2 linked regions of the Rhinolophus ferrumequinum genome follow. The protein of the gene in region 1 interacts with the protein of each later gene in a pairwise test. Links are inferred from orthologs where the notes say so. Each region holds a gene or a part of one and is shown in the gene's direction. Other genes may lie near its edges. The genes, in order: USP54 and ATXN1L.

Region 1 (12,204 bases):
TACTACCCTCAAAGCCTCATGCTCCTGAGGACAACTTCTTGGTAGGCTCTGAATCTCCAAATAATCACCAACCTCCCCTCTGCAAATTTATAGCCTGTTCAATTCCCAGATATATCAAGCCCTCAACAGCTCCAGGGTGAGTTACACCCCACCTATGAAACTCAGTCTCTATCTTAGAGCTAGTGAAGTGGGAGGGAGGGAACCACACCCTCAGGGAGAAAATGCCTTCTCAGTATGGGTAAGTGTTAAAGATAGGATTTCCAGATAAAACACAGGAAGTCCAGCCCTGTATTTTAAAGTTGAGATACACACAAATAATTAATTTTTTAGTAAAGTATGTCCAATGCGGTATTTCGGACATAAAAAAAAAAAAAAAACAAGGGCAGCCGGATGGCTCAGTTGGTTAGAGCACAGGTTCTCAACAACAAGGTTGCTGGTTCAATTCCCACATGGAATGGTGGGCTGCGCCCCCTGCAACTAAAGATTGAAAACGGAGACTGGACTTGGAGCTGAGCTGCACTCTCCAAAATTAAATTGAAGGACAACAACTGATGGGTCCTGGAAAACTATACTGTTCCCCAATAAAAATTTAAAACAACAACAACAAAAACAGTCTGGCAGGGGGATAAAAACAAACAAACAAGGCACTTAATTTCAGATACACAATGAATAATTTTTTAGTATAAATATGTCCCACAAAATGGGGCATAAAAATTAAATTAAAAAACACAGGACATTCGGTAAAATTTGAATTTCAGATATATAATGGATACTCTCATATATAAATATGTCCCATGCAATATTTGTAGCATATTTATACTAAAAAAGTGTTTGTTGTGTATCTGCGATTCAGATTTAACTGGTATCCTGTAATTTTATTTGCTAAATTTGGCAACCCTAGAAAGAATTAAGTGAATTTTTACGGTCATCTCCTTCTTCAGCCATTCTTTCATCTAAGGACCCCAGATGTGGGGACTGAAACCATCCTTGAAGATCCTACATTCCCTAGTCAGGATCCTTCAAAGAAAGAGAAGTAGGGATTGGAGAGAGGCCAGGCACAAGATGTTATAGCTGCCACGGAGAGGCTCTTCTCCTTTTCCTTTATTTCCCCTCCACCTTCCCTGGGCAGCCGGCCAGGGGAGAGTGGAAATAGCTGCCTATATGGGGCCAGGGGCAGAAGTGTCTGTCGTTGGCCCTTATGTAGCAGCAGAGTGAAGATGCTGAGCTGGTTATATCTAACTTTAGGAGACCAAAAGCCCTCCTTCCTGCCTGGGTCTGGTTACACTGGGTGGAGCACTGGGTTGTGTGTGGTGGGTGGCCAGGAGAGCCTCCTGAAGGAGTTGGCAGGGTTATTTTTAGGCCTTGGGGCTGAATCCAGTGTTGCCCTTTTGGCCACCCTTCCCCCTCCCACTACAATTTCACTGTCAAGATGTCCTGGTCCAACAAGCACCAAGAAAAGAGAGGGAGAAAAAGAGGGAGAGAGAGAAGAGTTCTGTCTGACTAGATGAGGAGGGGGAGGGGGCAGAGAGCTCTCTAGTTCTTCAAATTAAGGCTAAGTTCTCCAGGCCAAACCTATCCTCTCAAAGTTTAGTTGAGCAGAAGTCTTGGTCCTCTTTGCCTTGGTAAGGATGGGAAAGGAGAATGAGTTGCTCTCATCCTGAGGTACAATTGGAGGTACTGAGCCATTGGGGGTCTAACCCCTTAAGGAGAGTTTAATTTCTCTCAGTCAGGCTATCCTTATCCATCTATTGGAGGGGAGAATCATAGAGGATTCAGTGTCTTTTGGTTGCCATTGTCTGATCACATCCGCCTTGCTACGCATACCTGTGTCTTTGTGTATTCCCCATACCCATCCCTAACCTTCCCCTAACTCTGTCCTTTTCAGGATCACTTCCAGAAGTTCCTTCCCGCAGTGGGGGGACAGCTGGGCACAGAGGGTCAGGGATTCTCCTACAGCAAGGGCAGCAGTGGAGGCCAGGCAAGGGGAAGTGGCCCTGCTGGACAGTACGGCTCTGAACAGCAGCAGCATCAGGGCCCTGGGTCTGGATCTGAAGGTACAGGTGGTCCGGGAGGCCAGCCCGGCAGAGGAGGAGCTGCTGGCACAGCAGGGGCTGGCGATACAGGAACAGGCAAGTATCTTCACCCAAGAGTAATGTCTGGTCCCTAGAGCAGCGATATCCACAGGAAGGAGGCCTAAATTGGGTGTAGGGAGCAGGAGAGGCCTGAGATTTCTTGGTGGACTCTATGGGTCCAGGAGAATACAAACATGTATCTATTTCACCCAGAAGTCACCTTTCTGGCTTTTCAGTTTCAGCCCTAGATCCGACCCCAGGCTGTCATTATTCTGCAAACATTATACAATTATCAGGATGCTATACCTTTGGTACTTGGCTCCAGCAGCTTCCCTAGTGCAAGGGTATGAGACTAACTTCCACTGGCTACTACCTGCTATTATTTGACTTACTTTTCTCTCCCATGGCTGCCAGGAGACCAGGCAGGTGGAGGAGGAAAACATATCACTGTGTTCAAGACCTATATTTCCCCATGGGAGAAAGCCATGGGGGTTGACCCCCAGCAAAAAGTGGAACTTGGCATTGACCTGCTGGCCTATGGGGCCAAAGCTGAACTCCCCCAATACAAGTCCTTCAACAGGTAGCGGTGATGGGGGAAGGAACCAGATGCATGCGAGTGTGTGGTAACATGTCCTTCATTGGGATGGAAACTTTGGTTCAAATGTTTCAGGAGGCATGGGAGGAATATGGGGACCCTAATTGAAGGCCTTTGCTCTTTCCACTCCAGCTCAGAGAAACAGCATAGTATGATGACAGAAAATTTATTGGGAGGCAGGATTTAATTTTTAGTTCATAGGCCACTTATTAGCTGTGTGGGCATGGGAAAGTCACCCTATTTCTGAGCGTTGGTTGCCTTGACTGTAAAATGGGAGTAATATATCACACATTTAAAGGCCTCTTGAAGGCTCCCTTCTTTCAAGGTTAGGGTTCCATTACTGTTCCTGCAGTATGAGTCTAGTCCTTTATATCCTACCTTAGGGAGGTTTGAATATCTGTTCTTTTGGGCTTCTCCAGACTGTGGATAGTAGATCTGTGTGAAAATAGGATAGGGAAGTGCTAGAGAAGGGCTTTTGCATCTGGTCCTAAGGAGTCTGGATTTTCCAGGAAATGTTATTCCTCTCATTTAGGCCAGGTACTATCCACTGGAGGCAGGGTCGGGGTTCTACATTGTACTTTAAGGTAGCCTCAGACCCTTGGGTCTATAGTGTTTGGGGTCACTTTTTCTAAAATGCTGGTCTGGGCCACAGCTGCTCATGAGGCTATCTAGTACCAATTAGAGTCCTTTTCTCATTATTAGCTTTGAGGAAACAAGGAAACCAGGAAGGGGGAATGGAGTGCTATGGGAGAAAAAGAATAAGGAGAGCAGAAGCAATCTCACACTAGAATTCAGAGACTCCCCATCTTCAAAACAGAGTAACATCTTACTGATAAAGCTCTGCTCCTTTTGTTCTGGTTTTTAATGAAATAATGTGTCCCCTTTTCAGGACAGCAATGCCTTATGGTGGATATGAGAAGGCATCCAAACGAATGACCTTCCAGATGCCCAAGTTTGACCTGGGACCCCTGCTGAGCGAACCCATGGTCCTCTACAACCAGAACCTCTCCAATAGGCCTTCTTTCAATCGAACCCCTATTCCCTGGCTGAGCTCCGGGGAGCATGCAGACTACAACGTGGATATTGGCATCCCCTTGGATGGAGAAACAGAGGAGTTGTGAGGCGTTTCCTTCTCTACTTTGCATTAAGTTTCCCCTCTCTGGTTCCAATTTGGAGAGGGAAGCTGAGCAAGATACTCCCATTGTAAATCTAGTATCCTTTTGGGAATGGAGGGGAAAAAGAAGGGAGAAATCTGCCTTTCCATCCTTCGGTCTAAGTGCCCACTCCAGCATCCTTCCTCACCACCTCAGAGCTCCCCTTCCACTTTCTCTGTATGGAAACTGTTCTTTTATGGAATTTTCTCCGCCACCGGTAACAGTCAATAAACTTCAAGGAAATGAACTCATTCTTCCTCTGATATTTGAGGGCAGACGAAAACTGAGGCTAACAATGCACAGAGACTAATTAAAGTCAAATACTAGTCATTCATGATTCAAACTTCAAGACCAGACCTGAGCTCTGGTTACTTACACACCCACACCCACATCCACACCCATGAAACCACATTCATAGGTGTATACAAAGGCATTCTTATTCAACAGTAACATAAGACAAATAATCACGCACAGACACACGTACTAGTCCATATGTGGGCACAGCTAAGAAGCTATTGTGTGCTGTGGTTAGGAAGTAGGTGGTGGTGACCCTGCTGTTAGTTCTCTTTTTGTAGCTGATTAGAAATTGGGATAATCAGGATTACCCAATCATTACAGAACTAGAAATGCCATAAAGTTTCCAGATGACATCAGAGTGGGCTTAGGAATGTATGTCAAAGGTTACGGATTCCCAGAAGGATGAGATAGAATAGGGAGCCGTGTTGGAATCCAGAAGGAAGTGGGAGAAACCAGCTGTAGTAGTTATAGTAGCCCTGGCTCTGTACTAACATAGCAAGAAAAGAACTAAGGGTCATGGGGGCACTGCAGTGGTGTCCAGACAGCAATGCGATTGGGAAGAAAGCACGAGAGCCCAACAGGAATGAGTAACATTACTCTTTTTATTGATTTCAAGCATGAGGTTTCTTTAGAATCCCAGACTTACTCCTGTGTTCTACAAAATAAGAAGTGATGCAGACCAGGAAGAATAGAGATGACTCAATCGGTTCTGGGAAAATAAATTCTGAGAGCTGGCTGAAGTCAGCCAACTTCTTGAGCCATTAAAGATGATACTAATTTGCTAGACTCTGCATAGACTGATTCAATTTTCATGGACCTTGGGTCACATGATATTTATCCTGGTCACGTTCCTTTACAAATTAAATACATTGCAGGGGGTTCATAGGTTCTGTGAACTTGTACACAAAACTCTACTTCTACATGCATTTTTCTAAGTAGAGTGTTGTCATAGTTTGGATTTTCCCCCAAATAGATCCTGGAACAAAGTTTTGGATACAAGTAGTTAACAAGGAAGGTGATCCCAGAATCCAAGCAGTGCAAGGGAGAAGAAAGCCAATAAAGGTGCTTTGAGCAATTGGGGCTGAATCCCACCGGGGACTCTGGGAAAAATACTATTCAAACTGTGGTCCACGGACTGGCAGCAGCATTATCTTCTGGGAGCTTGGTTAAAAGTACAAACTCAAGAATCTGTCGCTTATTAAGCTCTCGAGGTGATTCTTATGCATTGGTAAATTTTGAGAAACACTACATCAGAATTGCCCCACTGAGGGGGGGTGGGAACTGGAATATTTAACCACCAAATCCCATCTCTCATTGGTTGTGGATTGTTACCAGGAATGTTAACTCTGCTGGCAATTCCAAAGAAAGGTGTTTGAGGTAGGAAGCTATGGGCTTGTGCAGGATCTGTCTACCAAAGTTGTAGTGAACTCTGAGGTGGGCTGAGGGAATATGGTTAGGGCACAGATAGGATCTGGATAAGGCTTCATAGCGTTCATCTGATTCCCATGTTTAAAAGTCTATGAACCCTGCCAAAAAGTTACGGACTATATTTCTTTAACAAATGTTTATTGAGTGCCTACTGTATACCAGGTACTTACTAGGTCAGGCATCAGAGGTACAAAGGCTAGTAACAACTCATGTGACAAAGAGATTTCATAGTCAATCATAAAATACTTATTAAATGCTTACTATTAAAGTTGAGATTAAAAACAAAAAGTCCAGCATCTGCTAGTCAACAGCTCTGAAAACCTAGAACTTAAGTTTTTCTAAACTCAGAATGTCTGAAATCTTAAATATAACGAAATATCATGATGCAAGCTTATTAATTTACAGGAAGCCCAGGTTGGTTGTGAAATTATTTTCTTAGTATAAAAGTCTACTTGAGAGTCAAATTATTATCAGAAGATGCAATGGTGGTTTAATGCATTAAAATGCGCACTTGCACAGGATCTAGCCAGAAATCCAGTCAGATCCTCAAGCTTTGCTATCTCTTTGCCTGGACATTTTTCTTGTGTTAAAACATCCTTTCTTCAGACCATCTTTTATTGTTACTTGCTTAGCCTCTGTAGCCATCTGAGTTAGCAACTTTAAGGGTTTCTTTTACATAAACCACATGCCTATAATACTGTGCCCCTAACCTCACCCAGATAGCTCATTCCCTCTTCTAGGGTTCAGAGCTTTGTGGTGCAATACTATAGTCACTAGACACACGTGTCTTTTAGGCTTTTAAAATGAGCCTAGTCAGAATTGAGATGCTCTGTGTATAGAAACACTGGATTTTGAAGACTTAGTATGAAAAAATATCTCATCAATAACTTAAAGATATTGATTACATCTTGAAATGGTATTTTGGGTTAAAAATTAACTAAAATTTCCTATTTCTTTCAAGAAATGTGGATACTCGATATTTTAAATTGCGTAATGCGGTTTGCAGTATATTTCTACTGGACAGCAGGGGTCTAGACTATGAGAGCTATTCAGGGGCTGTGAGGGAAGGAATAAATTCTCCATTTATTATTTCTATTCCTTTATTTGTTCCCCTCTGTTCTATTCTTCCTTGATGACCGGCGTTAAGTCTACCTTCTGTTCCAGATGTTACTCAGTCTGCATTTACAGTTGTCTGAGAGCAGAGACAGCAAGCCCTCCAACTTAAATGTTGACAGAGTCACTAAGTCACAAGGATGTGTCCACAGGGCAGCAAGCAAGTGCCAAGTTCAAACCACACGCCAATCCGGTCCCCTTCTGCATCCCAACACCTGTGCCTGATTTAAAAGACAAACTTGTGTTGCCTATTTGCGTCGGGCTAACTGACGGGGGGTGTGGCACCAGCGGAGAAACATAAACATTTCTGTGGAGTCCAATACCATTTGCAAACCACGGTAGGGGAAAAACGTATGAAAACTTCCTGAAGGAAGGTAATGAGGACACGGGAAGGTCAATTTCTGTCTTGCTTCATCCCTACTCCGCATGCAGAAGGAAAATGCCGGGAAAACGGGAACTTCAGCTAAAGGCGACACTGCTCTAAGTTGGAGGCACTTGGGCAAAGAGCAGGCCACATCCCTAGTTATTCCAGCGTGGGGTCCGCTACCCTAACATCCCCCAGCTCAGACTGCCCCGGCTGCACTAGTTTCCGACTCTCCAGCCGGCTCCACATTCTCCCTCGCTCTCGCCCACCTCTGGACCTTCCCAGGCCACCCCTGAAACGCCCTGCAGCCGCCATTTTACCCAATGCTATCGCGAGACACTCAGCCGTCGGGAGCCTGACTCATGTATGTACTTTCTTGCGAGACGTTCTCCTGGGTTGTTCTCGCGGAGGAAAGTGTCGCGAGAGCTGGTTGCCTTGGCTCCCTGTAGCTATAGCAGCCGCGGCGGTTAAGGATGCGGCGGCAAGAGCGGTGAGTGCGACACCCTCAGGGGGGCGGGGCTGGAGGGAACGGGGTGCAGGGGGAGCGCCCAGGGAGGGGGCGGGGAGGGTCGGGTCACGGGGGGAATGGGCGTGAGTGTGACGTGTAGGGGAGGACCCAGGTCTAGTGGGTATAGGGACTGGGCGCCGATCTGCACTGGGGCACGCGGGGAGGGCTGCAGCTGCTGGGAGGTCTAGGGGGAGGGACGGGGTGGAGCAGGGTTCAAGGGGCAGGGGCCAGAGTGTGGAAGTCTGTGTGTGTGTGTGTGTGTGTGTGTGTGTGTGTGTGTGTGTGTGTGTTTGTGTATGGTGGGAGGGAGAGGGTTACCGGGACTCAGAAATGGTTAAAGAGACCGGACTACATCGAGGAATAAGTGGTAAGAAATGGGGTTCAGCTAGGAGCAGGGTATGTTGAATGGGAGCAACAGAGGTTGGGCCCGGTTGCTTTGCACTGGTGGGGATGCGTGTGCGTGTGTGTCAGACCTTCGCAGCTCCCGGGGGCCCCGCCTGAGGCTAGTCCGGGACTTGAGGCGCGCCAGGACCTGCGTCCTAAAGGGCTTGGCGGGAATGGTGGCGTCCCGGACCTTCGCCTCCCGTCCCTCCCAAAGAAATCCCCCACGGACTTTGAAATATGAAAGGAGGTTCCTGGTGAGCTAGTATTAGTTGGGAAGGTTCTTTCGGTGGAGAGACTGAGTGGGATCATGAATGATTGCTGTTCTAAGATAAAGTGTGGGGTGGGAGCGGGTGAGAAATGTTTGAGAGGAAAAAACCAAACCTCAGATGTGCTTCCTCTGGAACGTATTGAGTTGGAGGAAGGGGGTGTGTGCTGAGATCACGTTTCTTGCCAGATTCATTCAATTGTAGAAATCCTTTACAGTATATTTAGGAAATTATATATGCAGTGTAAAATCAGCTTAGATAATACAGTGAAAGAACGTGCAGTACGACACTTAAACCTTCCACGAATGTAACTTACAAACTAAGAAAAGTGTTTTTATTGCAGCAGCAGCATCTGCAGATTGAACTAGGGATAGTTTTAGTTACTTGAATGTACTAGGGATAGTTTTAGTTACTTGAATGTAAAACCTAGTGTTCCCAAAGTGTGCCTGTTTAGGTTATTTGCCTTTTAAGAAATGGATTAGGTTTCATTTTAGGGGACCAAACAAGTTTTGAATATCTGTCAACCTGGAAATAAAAGGAACCCCAGGAGTTAAAATCACCGAGAGGGCAAAGCGTTTAGTCTGAGACTCAAGGACTGTTCTGGAGACCTCAGGTTTGGACTACTTTGTTTGTTAAAATCTTATTTCTAGGGAAAACAGTGGCTTCAATTCAGGCATAAAAATAATTTATCCATTTCGATCTACAGATAACAGCTTTCTGATAATTTTTCTCACTACCTTTATAAGTATAAATGTGCAAAACCACTCTTTGATTATGTAACTGGATTTTTCCATGTTGAGGTTCACAAATTCATTAATTAGAATAATGGCTTTTAAATTTTTCTAGAGCTAGCCTTGATGTGGTTAGTCTTTGAACCTATTTATCTGATATGTTTTAGACTAAAACTTTTCATTTGTAATGTTAATAGCTAAACTTTAAAGTGCTTTTTTTGAGGCAAGATTTATGTGGTAGAGTCCAAAAGATTTCTGCATGAATCCATTAACGAGCTTCACTGAGTTCCTGTTATGTGTAGAGTACTGTGTGTAAGGCATTGCAGGGGGAAAAGATTAATTAATTCATTTATCCATTCAACAAACATTTATTGAGACCTATTTTGTGTCTGATTACTAAGCTTTCAGGATACAAATACAAGTAAGCCTTGCTCTCTGCCTTGAAATTGCTCAGACCCTAGGAAAGGAGAGTAATAGAGAAACAAATAATTACAGTGTAATAAGCACACAATATATGAACACACGCTTATGAAACAAGGGTCTGTCCCTGAGCACTTTACTATGTTTATAGCATAGTAGATGACCATGCTGTATCAGTAAAACACATACTACATTTCTCAGAAGAGATGAAAGTTAGAATAGAAACTTGGGGCGAAAATTCTCGGGTAAGTTCATAATTTAATAGTTTTTTTTAGTATTCTTAAAATAAATATCACTAAGCATCTTAAGTCAATAATATAATAATAATAATAATAATAATAATAATAATGATTATAAGCACAATAGCTAACATTTGTTGGGTGATTATTAATGTTCCAGGCACATTATCTCATTTTATTTTCACAGCACCCTGCTCTTCAGCTGCTACTAATACTTCAATGTTAAAAATAAGAAAACTGAAGATTAAAAAATTAAAAAGTTGCCAAAGATTACAGAGCTGGTAAATGTCAGATTAGGGAGTTAGAAATATACATGATTGGAAAAACCTAAGCAAGATTCCTTTCTTTGCAGAAAGGGAGCCTTGGGATGTGGGGAGGAGGGCAGAGATTGAAGGTGGAATTGGACAGAAGACCAGAATTCAATCTCTATCTTTATTCATAGATTTTCCTCTATCAAATATTTACACGCATATGGGGAATGAATTTCAATATTAGCATGATGCTAAATATGAAATTTGTATTGTACAGAGAATTGAGTAAATTACCATATTCATGTTGGATATAATTGTACAGGGAGCTATGTTTGGGAAAATAGTTGTAATAAGCAGTTGTTAACATTTATAAGCTTCCAGAAAATGATCATTTTAACCCTGGAAATGGTTATCTATATTCATACCGTGTTTCCCTAAAAGTAAGACCTAGCCGGACCATCAGCTCTAACACGTCTTTTGGAGCAAAAATTAATATAAGACCCGGTCTTATGTTAGATAAGACCTGTTATAAGACTGGGTCTTATATTAATTTTTGCTCCAAAAGACGCATTAGAGCCCATGGTCTGGATTGGTCTTATTTTCGGGGAAACATGGTATATATGGCAAGTGTTAATTACAGTAGACTTTAAAGGATTAAGTCAAATATTTTTTATACTGCAATTTTTTTGTATTGAGAAAAATACATACATATTACATGTATTTATATATTTGCTTTCAGATTTTTTTAAGCTCTATATTTCAGACTCCAAAATCTGATTATCTGGTTGAAATTCAAATTTTATATCTTAGTACATGGTTTCTTTAAAAATCTGAGAAGGAAAAATATCATCAGTGTAGTATTGATACTTAGTTCTAGAGTTACTTAGTTGAATGCTTAAAAGTCAACCAGTTCAGTCCATCCTTTTATACTGAGGAAACTAAAGCCTAGAGAACTTTTAAATGACTTGCTCAAAGTCATACAGCTACAATGTCCCAGGTATTCTGATTTCAATTCAGTGTTCCTTTTACCGTACCACATTGCCAAATTATACTTAATAATTGCTATACGTTAAAGATAATTGAGAGTTTTAGATGCTCTCAGCTAATTTTAGGAAACCAGTTATATCAGGAGGCTATAGATGACAGAACAAACTAATTACTTGTTTCCCTTATACTGTATTTACACTTCTTATACTTAGGATAAATGCATTCAGATAATTTATTCAAATGCTTCCAACATTTGGTTTGTTATATCACTGTTTTCATTTTCTCTGTGTCCAGCTGTGGTGCTGGCCCATTTTAATAAATGTTTAGTGTCTTTAAAAATGGAGGTGTACAACTATGTTGTAATACACAGTATTCTTAAGAAATACATGCAGATTTGATGGTGAGTCCGTGATGCAGTTTTTTTTTCCATTGAGTTGAGTTTCTGCAGCAGCCCCTCATCTGTATAGATTTTAGATGGAATAGCATGTGGGTGTGAATGAGATCCTTGTGTTTTCTAACACCTTTTAACTAAGTGAGCCGGGTGCTTACTTTTTTTATGTGAGTTATTTTATTTTATTTTTTATTTTATTGGGGAAGGGGAACAGGACTTCATTGGGGAACAGTGTGTACTTCCAGGACTTTTTTCTTTTTTTCCAAGTCAAGTTGTTGTCCTTTTAATCCTAGTTGTGGAGGATGCTGTTCAGCTACAAGTTGTTGTCCTTTCAGTCTTAGTTGTGGAGGGCGCAGCTCAGCTCCAGGTCCAGTTGCTCTTGCTAGTTGCAGGGGGAGCAGCCCACCATCCCTTGCGGGACTCGAGGAATTGAACTGGCAACCTTGTGGTTGAGAGCCCACTGGCCCATGTGGGAATCCAACCATCAGCCTTTGGAGTTAGGAGCATGGAGCTCCAACTGCCTGAGCCACTGGGCCGGCCCTATGTGAGTTATTTTTGAGGTATTGAGACATTTTTCCAAAAAAGGTTTAGAGCAAGAGAATGAGATGAGAGGAAGAGCCCTGAGGGCTAAGAATGGAACTTCTTCTCCATGTGTGTTGAAAGCTGACACAGCAGTTTATGATATGTGAAGAAGATAATAGTCTAAAAGCTTTCTTGAACTCTTCATCCTCAGGAGAGCTTGAAGTTCTTTTCTTCTGCTTTGATACACATACCCTCTGGAAAGTTTCTATCCATTTACACTCCTACAGGGATGAGTGGGCAAAAGTATTAATTTCCTAGCGCTTAAATTAGCAACAGTAAATAGAGACTCAAGGAACAAACCAAAAACAATTTACATTGTAGGTGAAAAGTAATATCTTATTTTAAATTTCCATTTCTTTGATTGCCTTTAAAGTTGAACATTTTGTCATATTTATTATTTTTCCTGACTGGCTGTTTTGTCT
Region 2 (11,578 bases), on another chromosome or scaffold:
TAGTGAACATTTATTATTTTTGTAGTAAAAGGATTAGTTATTTAAAAGAGGAGCATGCATATTGTGATTTGTACTTTAGAAAATGTTTTCATTTATAGTTTGGTATGAGCCCCATACCACCTATGTGAGGTTTGTATGTTATTACAAACCTTAATATTTGCATTTTACAGCTGAGAAACTTGAAACTGAGAAGTTAAATGGCTTCCCACGATCACGTGATTAGGAGTAACAGGTTGAATTGGAACTCAAGGCCAAATCTTCAGACTGTAAATTCCTACGCTTTTTCACCACATCATGTCATAAAATGAACAAATAGAGTCATGTTGGAAAGGTAACAAATGCAACCTGCCCTGGTTGTTATGCACTGCCATAAGTCTTACTATCCTGAGTTACCAACTGATGACTGAGCATGAGGAAATAGGCTTTTCATAAGTATGGAAAACCTGAGCCTCCAAATTATACACCCTGTCTGTCTGCTGTGAAACAAAAGTGATGTTCATCACCTAATAGAGAATAGACAGAGTTCCTCTGCCATTGCATACAAATCTTGACATAAGACTACATTTGAACCTGAAATATACACAAAGCTCAGTGCTTGGAAGGTTGCTTAGCCAAGTCCAAAGTAGGAAAATGTTCTTTGCCTAAGACATTGCGGGGAAAAGAAATCACAATAGAACTGGACTTGTTTTAGACAAATGCTAAACTGTCGTTACACCAATACTAATACCGACAAACATTTATTGTTTATCTAGGTTAACAGTTTGTGTTACAAATAGAACCCTGGAAGATCAAGACTATTATCTCCTTTTAAAAAGGAATCAATTTAGGTAAGACAGCGCGAATTTGCTTTATTTATCTAAAATCACTTGGGCACTCCGTATTTAAATTTCTTCATTTGTAAGAAGAGGATAAAATATTTCTGGATAATAATATAGATCATGGATTATCAGGATCAAATAAAAGAATATGTGGACGTGCAGTTTAAAATTCACAAGTTCTGTGTATGCCATCAACGTCATCCCCGTTGTTCATGGTAACAAAATGGGTACCACTGCCTTTGCCTAAATTTGATTTACTTTGGGTTTTCCTTAGGCCCCTACTATCTAAGTAATGCCCAAACACCCTCTGCAAGATTTGGCTAAACAATGCCCAAAAATCAGTTTAGAAGTTTGACTAACAGCTTTCCCTCTATCAACAGACTATAGTAAAATTCAATAGTAAATAGTGCTATTTACGGAGCACTCAGAAAACTGTATTTATGTGCAATACTTATTTCACCTGAACCATCCTCATAATCAGAGATCATCAGTTTTGCAGTTTATCAAGGGTTATTCACTTATGTGATCCACTGCAAAGAGGAAAGAGCAAAAGTCAACAGAAAATAAGTTGGACTTAAAGAAAACATGTCAGCTACTACCTCTACTCATGAGTTTAGTACTACTTGAGCTGTGACCTGATAGAAGAAATGGCTTTTTTTTTTTTCTTTTGGTGTGTTTGAAAAAGGGTAAGGAAGCCCTTCCAGAAAAATTTGCATGGCAGCTAAAACTTAATAGTTACTGCACATGTGAAAAAGCTTGACTAGATAAAGTGCTCTGCCTTGGTGGAGAGAGAAGTCCAGTAATCTGAACATTCTTTTACATTTAAGCCTTTGGGAACTTTTTAAAATTAAACTTTTTATTTTGAGGTCATTGTAGAGTCACATGCAATTTATGAGAAGTAATACAGAAAGATCCAAAGTATACTTTTACTCAGTTCTCCCCAATGGTAACATCTTGCAAAACCAAGATATTGATATTGATACAGTCAAGATACAGAACCGTCTTTGGAAATTTTTAAATGATTTGATCACTATAATAATCATTCCCACATTCCCACCAGTCATAAACATTATTTTAAATTCCAAAGCTGGTAAGTAAGGTCTTAGGAGATATACCACTGGGTGGGTGAGGAGGGTAGGGGGTGGGGGGCAGTCGGGGTGTAGATTGCTTAGGATCTGGGCTGCCTGGAGTTATTATTCACTTTTACTTCTTTCCAAGAGTTTTAGGTGATTGACAACCAGTTGCAAATTGACTGGAAGGCAAAGGTGATCAGTTTTGCAAACAGAGCTGAACATAATATCACCAGAAGGTACAACACTCATAAATCACCTGATGAGCAAGTTTCCCAGAGAAAGAGAAAGTTATCAGTGTCATGAGGGCTCCAGTTTTTCAGCATCCACTTTATTCATTCAACAAGCCCCATGTGATGAATTCCTAATTGCTCACTAATGGCCTGGATGCACTGGCTTCTCTGTGAACCCAGATATGACTCTTGCAATTCAAAGAAGGGTTAGGTTTCCTCCAGTTTATTCCAGTCATCAGTGTTTTTACAGAAACTTTTGAGAGTTCTGCAGGAAGTTTCTGACAAACATGAAATTCTTTGGCAAATGCCAGAGGAAGCAGGCAACGGAGGGAGATTCCCCTCCCCTAAGGACATATTAGTCACTTATGGAGACATTATAAAACTTCCTTCTAAATAAAATATTAATGAATTTGAAAGGGAAATCCCCATTGGAAGAGATCACATAACATTAAAAGCCTGTAGAAATGAGGACATAGAATTGTTCAGAGAAGATAAAACACGAGCTTAAAAGTCACACATTTCGACACTGGGACCTCTAGAAAAGCTTTTGAAAAATAATCTAATATCAAACATCAACATGTTTTTAGGGAAAGTAAAATCCAGTAAGTATTTTGGTAATTTCTATGTTGCTTGAAGTTAGTTTTTGTTTTCAATCACTGGCATTCAAAGATGAAATTCTTTTCCTAAAATCGCACCTTTACATGCTGAAGCGTACAAGCAGGAAGACATGACAATATGAAAAATGCCACCTCCTCCTATTGTTATGACACACATAGTTTGCCAAGTTACAAGTTCAAGTTTGATTCCTTAATGTCAAAAAGAATTGGGATAGTTGTCTGAGTTTCCTCTGCCTGTATTACAAATCTAGAAAAAAATCACCAAAGGAGGAACTAGGAGACCCAGAGAGATGGTGTGAAACTCCTGCCTGCTGAGGGAGAAGAATAACCAGCATGGTGGGGTTTTGTTGTTTTTCTACCAACAGAGTAGCTCAAGCTCTCCCATCACACAAATTCAATCTACTCACATCAAAGGAATTCAATAGGAATCCAGGGAAATAGAAGAGGTGGACAAAACAGATTGACGTTTAACTCTTCAGTGCCCGAACGTCCCAAATACCTTTAAAAATCTCCTTTCACTTCATCAGTTCTTTAAACTCTGTGGAAAAAAAACCAACTCAGTGAAATAAAATGAAGGACTTTCATATGAGATTGAAAACAGATAGCAAATAGGTTAACTAGATAAGTAGAAATGAGGAAGTGGGAGCAAAAGAATTAGCAAGGACAGTCTCCTACTGTGGGATATCTTTGTGAAATTTCATTCAACAATTATTTACTGAGTCAGTTAGTGTTTTAGATGCCAGGTTCACTTAATATAAATAAATGATTATCCAGATAACAGAGAATAATATAGATATTTAGGGAAATAAGGTAACTTTTGGTTATTTTAGTGTGTTAAATCTAAAAGCTACATTAGCTTACTTATCACTACCATTTCTGTCAAACTGACACTAGGGAGCTTCATACTATCAATATGTACTATGACCAAAGAAATCGGGATTGTTTGGAGTAAAGATTTCTAAAACAGGGTATACAGCAGAGATATGACCCGCCCTTTGGGGACTGCAGCATCAAACCAGGAAATCACCTGTGTTTTTCAGACACACCTTTGCATTGCGTAATAATGCAGGTAGTCAAAAAGAGGTTTTGCTTGCATCAACCTTTGTCTGTTCTTTGTCTGAAGAGCAGTTCCCTGAGTACATATCCTGATCTGGGAAAATTAGCTATCCTTGAATACATTTGGATGGTCCAAGGATCTCTTTCTTTTTTTGCAGTTTTAATAGCAATTTAGTGAGCTAAGCAAGGAACTAGAAACCAGAATGCCAGTTAGCACTAAAACAGAATCACCACAGGACTTCCTTGTTGGCCAAACAGAGAGAAAGAATAATTCTCTGTCATGAATAAATATTCAAGAAGCAAAGCCTGATTTAGATGGTTACAGATCAGTAGCTTCGCTATGTTTTACCCACTGGTGGAAGAAGTGTGTGTGTGTGTGTGTGTGGTTGTGAGTGTGTGTGTGTGTGTGTGTGTGTGTGTAGTTCAATAATTTTGATGATCCTTTGTGCTCATTCAGGTGAAAAAATATGAAGATTGAGGCCTAAGGATTCCCTCGAAATAATCTTAGAGGTCATATACTTTATTTGTATTTTAATATCTTACTTACTTACTCATTTTACTATCTCTAAGGTAATATTCTCATAAAAAATCCAAACAGTAAAATAAGTCCCTTTTGTTCCTCTTGGCCATCACCCAATTCCACTTTCCACTCCCAAGATAACCAGTGTTAACTAGTTGTTACATACCTTTCCGTTCCTTTTCTGTACAGATACATAAATACCAGGGGTGCCAAAAAAAAGTATACAAGTGGACACTTTCGTCAACGTTGCTCAAGCAGTAATTCACCGTAATCAGAAGTGTCTGGATGCTGATTGCAACCACTTTGAGCAGCTCTTGTAATTGCAGAAGTCAAACTTGTATTCATCTTTTGTAATCGGTATATATTATTACAATTTTAAGTTTTTTCCTGTCTTAAAATGTGTATACATTTTTTTGGCACCCTCTCTATATGCAACTATAAATTATATGTCCTTTAACATTAAATACATACTGCACTGTACATATTTGCTTATTTTTTCACTTAAAATGTTTAGAGAGCTCTTCTATCTACATTTTACCCCCACGCTTTCATTTAGTTCAAGCTCCTCATTTTGCAGAAGTGGAAACCCATATCTAAAGTAGTAAAATGACTTTACTAAGGCCAGATAGCTACAGCATAGGGACCAGAGCCGGGCCAGTACTTTTAAAATCAAACAAAAAGTAATTATTTATTGAACAGAATTTGCAGAAACTGAAATGAAAAAAATCCACTCAGAATTCAATCTCTCCAATAGTTAAACTCCCCGCCCCTCTGGCGCCCCCCTCCCTCCACTTCAAGCCATTGTTTCTCAGTCTATTTGTGTAGGACACAGCTCCCTGGCCCATGCTGGTATTATGAGCCTTGCGCTCACCCCAGGCTGAGGCAGTCCTTCGCCAGTCATTGATCGGCCACTCACAGCAGCTCATGGCAGCTCTCAGCAGCTGCCAGCCACTCACAATGGCTGCGGGCCACTCATGCTGGCTGCCACGCCACTCACGCTGGCCACCAGCTGCTCATGGCGGCACACGGTAGTCCACGGCAGCTCAGCTCCAGAAAGAGCTGTTGTTCACAGTCTTAGCTGTAGTGGGCACAGCTCACAGGCCCACTTGGGAATCAAACCAGCAACCTTAGCGTTAGGGCCCTCCAACCACCTGAGCTACCGGGCCGGCCCTAAACTTATTTTTCTGTTTAGTTAGTTTTGTCTGTGTGCAGAACTATTATATTTTACACAGTTGTAATCAAAGCACAAATTTAACTGTTCATTTTTTCAGTTAAGTTAATCAGAAGTTCATGTTTCTATAGAGTTGACTGGTTAATCTTCAACGAATGGTGACCTAATATTTCATCCAGTAGTAAAGTCCTCTTCCCACTAAACTAAGCTGCTTCCCATTGTACTAAACCTCTTCCTCTCATTCCTTACAGACTTTCAAGTCTCCCACTACTTGCTTCACCTTCCCCTAGATCCTGGGGTCCGGTCCACTCTCATCCCCTTCAGAGCCATTTCTCAACTCTTAAAGAACTCCCATCTGTCCCCTGAATCTCCAGAGGGATCTCCTTACTCTCCTGTGCCCAGGTCACCTCGAGGTTCTCTAAGGTTCCCCAGAAGAGTCTTCACAAATCAGGCCCGGGAAGTCCAGGAAATGAGGGTCGCTAATGGCTACGACCCAGGGATCTGCCTGGGAACCCCTAGAATTTACGGGAGTAGAAAGATTGAGGGGTCATTGTGGGGTCAAGGTGTGGGAGCTCTGGCCCAGCCCTGGATTCACGTGACTCAGGTCCAGGAGAAGGAGTTCGTTTTCTCACCAGAGAGGGCGCTGGGGACGACGCACTGGGGACGAAGCGCTGGCGGCCAGCCCCCTCCCCTCCGGGGTACTCCTAGGCGTCGCTCTCAGTCCCAGGCGTGACGCAATCTCTCTGCGCCGGGGGCGGGACGCGCTGACGCCATCTCCGGGCGCCCGTCTGGGGGGGGCGCTGGGTGTGGGGCGGCTCCGGGGCCGGGGATGGCGGCGGCCGCAGTTGCGGCGGCTCCGGGACGAGCGGGAGGAGCCCAAAGAGCGTCGTGAGATGGGCCGGTGAGTGTCGCCGGGAGTGAGGTCTGCCGGGCCGGTCTCACTGGGGCCAAGCAGGCCTGGGCTCGGAGCTCCGGAGGAAGTGGCCCTACGGAGCCCGCTGCCCGGTAGAACCGCGGCCCGAGAACCGCGGACCGATGGAGCGAAAGAGGCCGCGCCTAGACCCGGCTCACTTCCCTCCGACCCAGCCCAGAAAGCTGCCTCAGGCTCCGGCGCCCCCGTGGCTGTGTCCCTACCGGCCGGGGTATCTGAGTCCTTGGGGCGGGAAGGGGCCCCCAAACAAGGAAGCATCACCTGCTGGCCCCTGCCCCTCTGCTTGAAGGGTCGACCCCCACTCTCTAAACCTTGAATTCCCAGTTTCGGACCTTACGCTTTTTGGAGCAAGGATTGCGGGATCACTGGGGAAGCCATAACCTCTAGTATCTTCCAAGCTCCCCTTTCTGGCGGGCGCACCTCTCGCCCTCAGCGAATTCTGGTCTCTCGACTCCTTGGCTCTGCTGGCAGGGTTGGCAACTCTCTGGAACAGTCCTTCTTCCCCGTTAGCTCGGTTGGGGTCACAAGCTACGTCTTCCCCTTGAGAAATCCTCATTGAGCCCCTCCAGAGGCCGGGGTTTCACATTCCGAAATATGTTTTGCGTGGTGCACAAGCCTGGTCCATAGGCTTGTCTCTGTTGTCATTCCTGCAGACCTCTTGGCTCTTTTATTCCTTCTATTAACCTGTATTTGGCTAACCCCTCAGTGACCTAGAGGCAGGTTTTCTTTAATGTTTTAGCTGCAGGGAGCAAGGATGATGCTGGGGTTGAAGACATGACCCCAGTTTTTGTTAGGAATGAAGGAGAAAGCTAAAAGCTAACTGCTTTTCAGTTACTGGAACTGCCGACAAAGAAGGGATGCACGACTTGTGCCCATTGTGTCATTTGTGTTCATGGAGCTAAGAATTTGTCTTTCCACTTTGTTTTCCTATTTCATCACCTTTTTGTGTACATCCTTGCCAGTACTTGTAAGAGGTAAAAGTTGTCTTCAGCTTGGTTTGAGGCTTGCAGTGTGGTCTGTAGAACTTGGACAGGACAGTGGGTAGTTTCTCGGAGTACTCAGTACTATTTCTGTTTTCAGAGATTAGGGCTCCATTCTTCAGTGCTTGATGTGTCTGGCATGTGCAGACTTAGATATTGACAGTTTAGTGTGAGTTTTGTTTCCCCATTGTTAGCTAAGTGAGGACCCAGGCAATGTTTTAGTTTCTGTCACAACTGATTCAGCACTTGGTACCAAGTTGTCACTCAGAAGATTTTACACATACCCAGGAGACCATTTTTTTACCCTGAAAAATCTGTTAATAAGGCTTCCCCTTGAGTGGCTCCCCCTTGACCTCTTTTTCTGCCCCAGAAACATAAATAATTGTTCTTTTTTCTCTAGTGCCGCTTTTCTCATTTAAATAACCTCCACAACTATGTTTTCATCAGCCTTGAATAAAAGTGAAAGCTGTGAAGTTGGTTTTTCCTGGTTCCTGTTGTTCACATGGGAACAATGTTGAGTCTTCCATTTTTATTTGTGCAGTTACCTGGAATTGGGATGGGAAGTAAATGTAACCTTTGGGGAATAAATTTAACCTTTGGGAAAATTTAACAGGTGAAGAACATGTCAATGAAGAACATGATGTTAAGGAAAACAATGAAGTTTGACATGGAAAACTTTTTCCAGGGATGTCCTCCTACAAATTAAAGCTTAAGAGATCGCTTTTTCTGTAATGTGATGTTGTGCTTGTAGTAGAAGAGGAAGGGACTCATGGAGTTTAGTATCTTTGTAGCTTTGTAGTTATCTTCCCCCCCCCCTTTCTTCCGCCTCGCTCCCTTCCCCCCCGCCCCCCGCCCCTACTCCAGTTCAAGCCGTTGTTTCTCAGTCTAGTTGTGTAGGACACAGCTCCCTGGCCCATGCTGGTATTAGAAGCCTTGCGCTCTCCCGGCTGAGGCAGTTGGTCGCCAGTCGTAGGCCGGCCACTCACAGCAACTCATGGCAGCTCACGCTGGCTACCTGCCGCTCATGGCAGCGCACAGTAGCCCATGGCAGCACACGGCAGCCTGTGGCAGCACACAGCATCCTACGGCAGCTGACGCCAACCTCTGGCTGCCGTGTCATGGCAGGCCAGCTCTAGGGAGAGCTGTTGTTCACAATCTTAGCTGTAGAGGGTGCAGCTCACTGGCCCATGTGGGAATCGAACCGGTGACCTCGGTGTTAGGAGCAGGGCGCTCCAGCCACCTGAGCCACCGTGCTGGCCTGGAGTTACCTTTTTTGATGGTCAGAGATGGTCAGAGACTAGGCTCCTACTTACTTTATCCCTATGTCTGTCTTCTAGGTTCCCACACCAGCGGGGAGGACACTGCTTCTTACTACAGCTGCTCAGAAGCGGTACTGGAAGCTCAGGTAATACAGGTGCTTTAGATACCTTGTTGCAGAAATACATCTGGGATTCAACTGTGGAAAAACAGAGCAGAGTATAATGTAGAAATCTCTTTTCAGATCTAAAGAACTGGAGCCTGATTGGAAGAAATAGGTGACAAAGTTCATATGCACTGAAGTGTTCAGACAAAAAGATACTTTATGACAATGGACAAAAGCATGTACGAAAGGTGACAACAAGAGAAAGGGGAGAGAGAACTTTCTTAGGAATCATACAGACCTAAGATAGTAATAAACAGGAGTGCTTGGAGGAATGGAATCAGAATTTTAGGAAGTGGGGCCTAGAGCAGACCTACGATGGAGTAGGAGCCATTGACAAAACACAAAGGAAAAAAGAAAGGGAATGAATGAAGAAGGCAAATTGTGGGTGGTCTCTGAGAAGAAAAGAAGTCTTGCCAGATTAGGGAGCAAGAAGTCTTTATGAGGTCAGAAGAATTTTGTTGCTTTTTGGGGACAAGGAGAAACAAATAAATTGTAGAACTTGGTCGTACAATCACTCTCCCCACAGAGCCCAAGTTTGAATGTAGTATTTTATGGGGCAAAGAAGATGCTAATGTTCATGATACTTTTAGGGATCAAAGTTTAAAAAAACAAGACACAAGCAGACCTGAGGACTTATCGACACCTGGGTCCTTGAGGTGGTGGCGATATGAGGCAGAAGACGACAAGAGTTTAACCAGGCCCGAGGTGCAGGGAGCTAGGGATAGGTGAGATCATAACTCACATTGGTCTGGGAAAAGGAAGTGAAGATGAGGTCTTATGTTCAGGAAAGAAGATAGCACAGGAGTCTTTGGTGGCAAAAGGAGAAACTTAGAAAAAAGAGTCAGCAGCAAAGACCCTGTGTTCAAATTCCCGTTAGGGGAAAAGGCTGAGAACAGTCAAGCTCCCCATCTGAGGCACAGCTAATCATGAAGCTGTTGGTTTCTCTAGGGTTATTTATGCTTCTCCTTGTAGCTCTTTGTGACTGTTTGTTTCTTTCATGTCGAGGCTGCCTGAGTGAGGAGGGGAGCGTCCTGGTCTGCCCCTCTCTCGTACCTCTTTTTGCCCCAGCAGTCCCCTTTGTTACATCTTCCTTCATGGGCACAGTTGTGCTATTTCCTTTGACTTAGTTCACCCCTAGGTTACTTTTCTTTGCCTCTGATTTGTTCCCTAGCAGATGTGGGCACCCCAGCCAGCAACAGAGAGGGGTGCAGGGGAGCCACAGAGAAGCCCCTTCTGATGCCCCAAGGAGCAAGCCGACCCCTTCCAGGCTCCAGGAACACTGCAAAGCAATATGAAACCTGTTCATGAGAGGAGTCAGGAATGCCTTCCACCAAAGAAACGAGACCTCCCCGTGACCAGCGAGGATATGGGGAGAACTACCAGCTGCTCAACTAACCACACACCCTCCAGTGATGCCTCTGAATGGTCCCGAGGGGTTGTGGTGGCTGGGCAGAGCCAGGCAGGAACCAGAGTCAGCCTAGGGGCTGATGGCGCTGAGGCCATCACTGGTCTGACAGTGGACCAATATGGCATGCTGTATAAGGTGGCTGTGCCACCTGCCACCTTCTCCCCAACTGGCCTCCCATCCGTGGTGAACATGAGCCCCTTGCCCCCCACGTTTAATGTAGCGTCTTCACTGATTCAACATCCAGGAATCCACTATCCCCCAATCCACTATGCTCAGCTCCCATCCACCTCTCTGCAGTTTATCGGGTCTCCTTACAGCCTTCCCTATGCTGTGCCACCTAATTTCCTACCGAGTCCCCTTCTTTCCCCTTCTGCCAACCTCGCCACCTCTCACCTTCCACACTTTGTGCCATATGCCTCGCTCCTGGCAGAAGGAGCCACTCCTCCCCCGCAGTCTTCATCCCCGGCTCACTCATTCAACAAAGCCCCCTCTGCCACCACCTCACCTGGGCAGTTGTCACATCACTCGAGTACTCAGCCATTGGACCTCGCTCCAGGACGGATGCCCATTTATTATCAGATGTCCAGGCTACCTGCTGGGTACACCTTGCATGAAACCCCTCCAGCAGGTGCCAGCCCAGTTCTTACTCCTCAGGAGGGCCAGTCTGCTCTGGAAGCAGCTGCTGCCAACGGACAGAGACAGCGAGAGCGAAATTTAGTAAGACGAGAAAGCGAAGCCCTCGACTCCCCCAACAGCAAGGGTGAAGGCCAGGGACTGGTGCCAGTGGTAGAATGTGTGGTGGATAGACAGTTGTTTTCAGGTTCTCAGACTGCACGGGTGGAGGTGGCAGTGCCAGCACACCGAGGGACCCCAGACACCGACCTTGAGGTCCAGCGGGTAGTTGGCGCTTTAGCTTCTCAGGACTATCGTGTGGTGGCAGCTCAGAGGAAAGATGAGCCCAGCCCCCTCAACCTGTCCCATCATACCCCTGACCATCAGGGTGAGGGGCGAGGGTCAGCCAGGAACCCAGCAGAGATGGCTGAGAAAAACCAGGCCCGAGGGTTCTATCCTCAATCCCATCAGGAACCGGTGAAACATAGACCTTTACCCAAAGCAGTGGTTGTAGCCAATGGCAACCTGGTGCCCACTGGAACTGACCCAGGCCTGCTGCCCATGGGCTCGGAGATCCTGGTGGCATCAAGTTTGGACATGCAGGCCAGAGCCATCTTTCCAGACAAGGAGCCAACGCCACCCCCCATTACCTCCTCTCACTTGCCCTCCCATTTCATGAAAGGCGCCATCATCCAGCTGGCTACGGGGGAGCTGAAGCGGGTGGAGGACCTCCAGACCC

The links.
Region 2: the proteins of USP54 (region 1) and ATXN1L interact in binary tests that used the Homo sapiens proteins (3 or more experiments, as listed by UniProt). The link is inferred for Rhinolophus ferrumequinum from reciprocal best matches to the Homo sapiens genes USP54 and ATXN1L.

Annotation. Positions count from the first base shown.
Region 1 is NC_046299.1:51,093,511-51,105,714, reverse strand, and holds the start of USP54 (inactive ubiquitin carboxyl-terminal hydrolase 54), read left to right. Parts: upstream 1-7,423; 5' UTR 7,424-7,513; intron 7,514-7,783; exon of another isoform or gene 7,784-7,898; intron 7,899-8,579; exon of another isoform or gene 8,580-8,794; intron 8,795-12,204. Other genes in the region: MYOZ1 (myozenin-1), read left to right, coding at 1,886-2,129, 2,487-2,652, 3,557-3,788.
Region 2 is NC_046298.1:20,858,012-20,869,589, reverse strand, and holds the start of ATXN1L (ataxin-1-like), read left to right. Parts: upstream 1-6,267; 5' UTR 6,268-6,386; intron 6,387-8,733; 5' UTR 8,734-8,801; intron 8,802-8,897; 5' UTR 8,898-8,998; exon of another isoform or gene 8,999-9,976; intron 9,977-9,990; exon of another isoform or gene 9,991-9,993; 5' UTR 9,994-10,110; coding exon 10,111-11,578. UniProt on the Homo sapiens protein: Chromatin-binding factor that repress Notch signaling in the absence of Notch intracellular domain by acting as a CBF1 corepressor. Binds to the HEY promoter and might assist, along with NCOR2, RBPJ-mediated repression.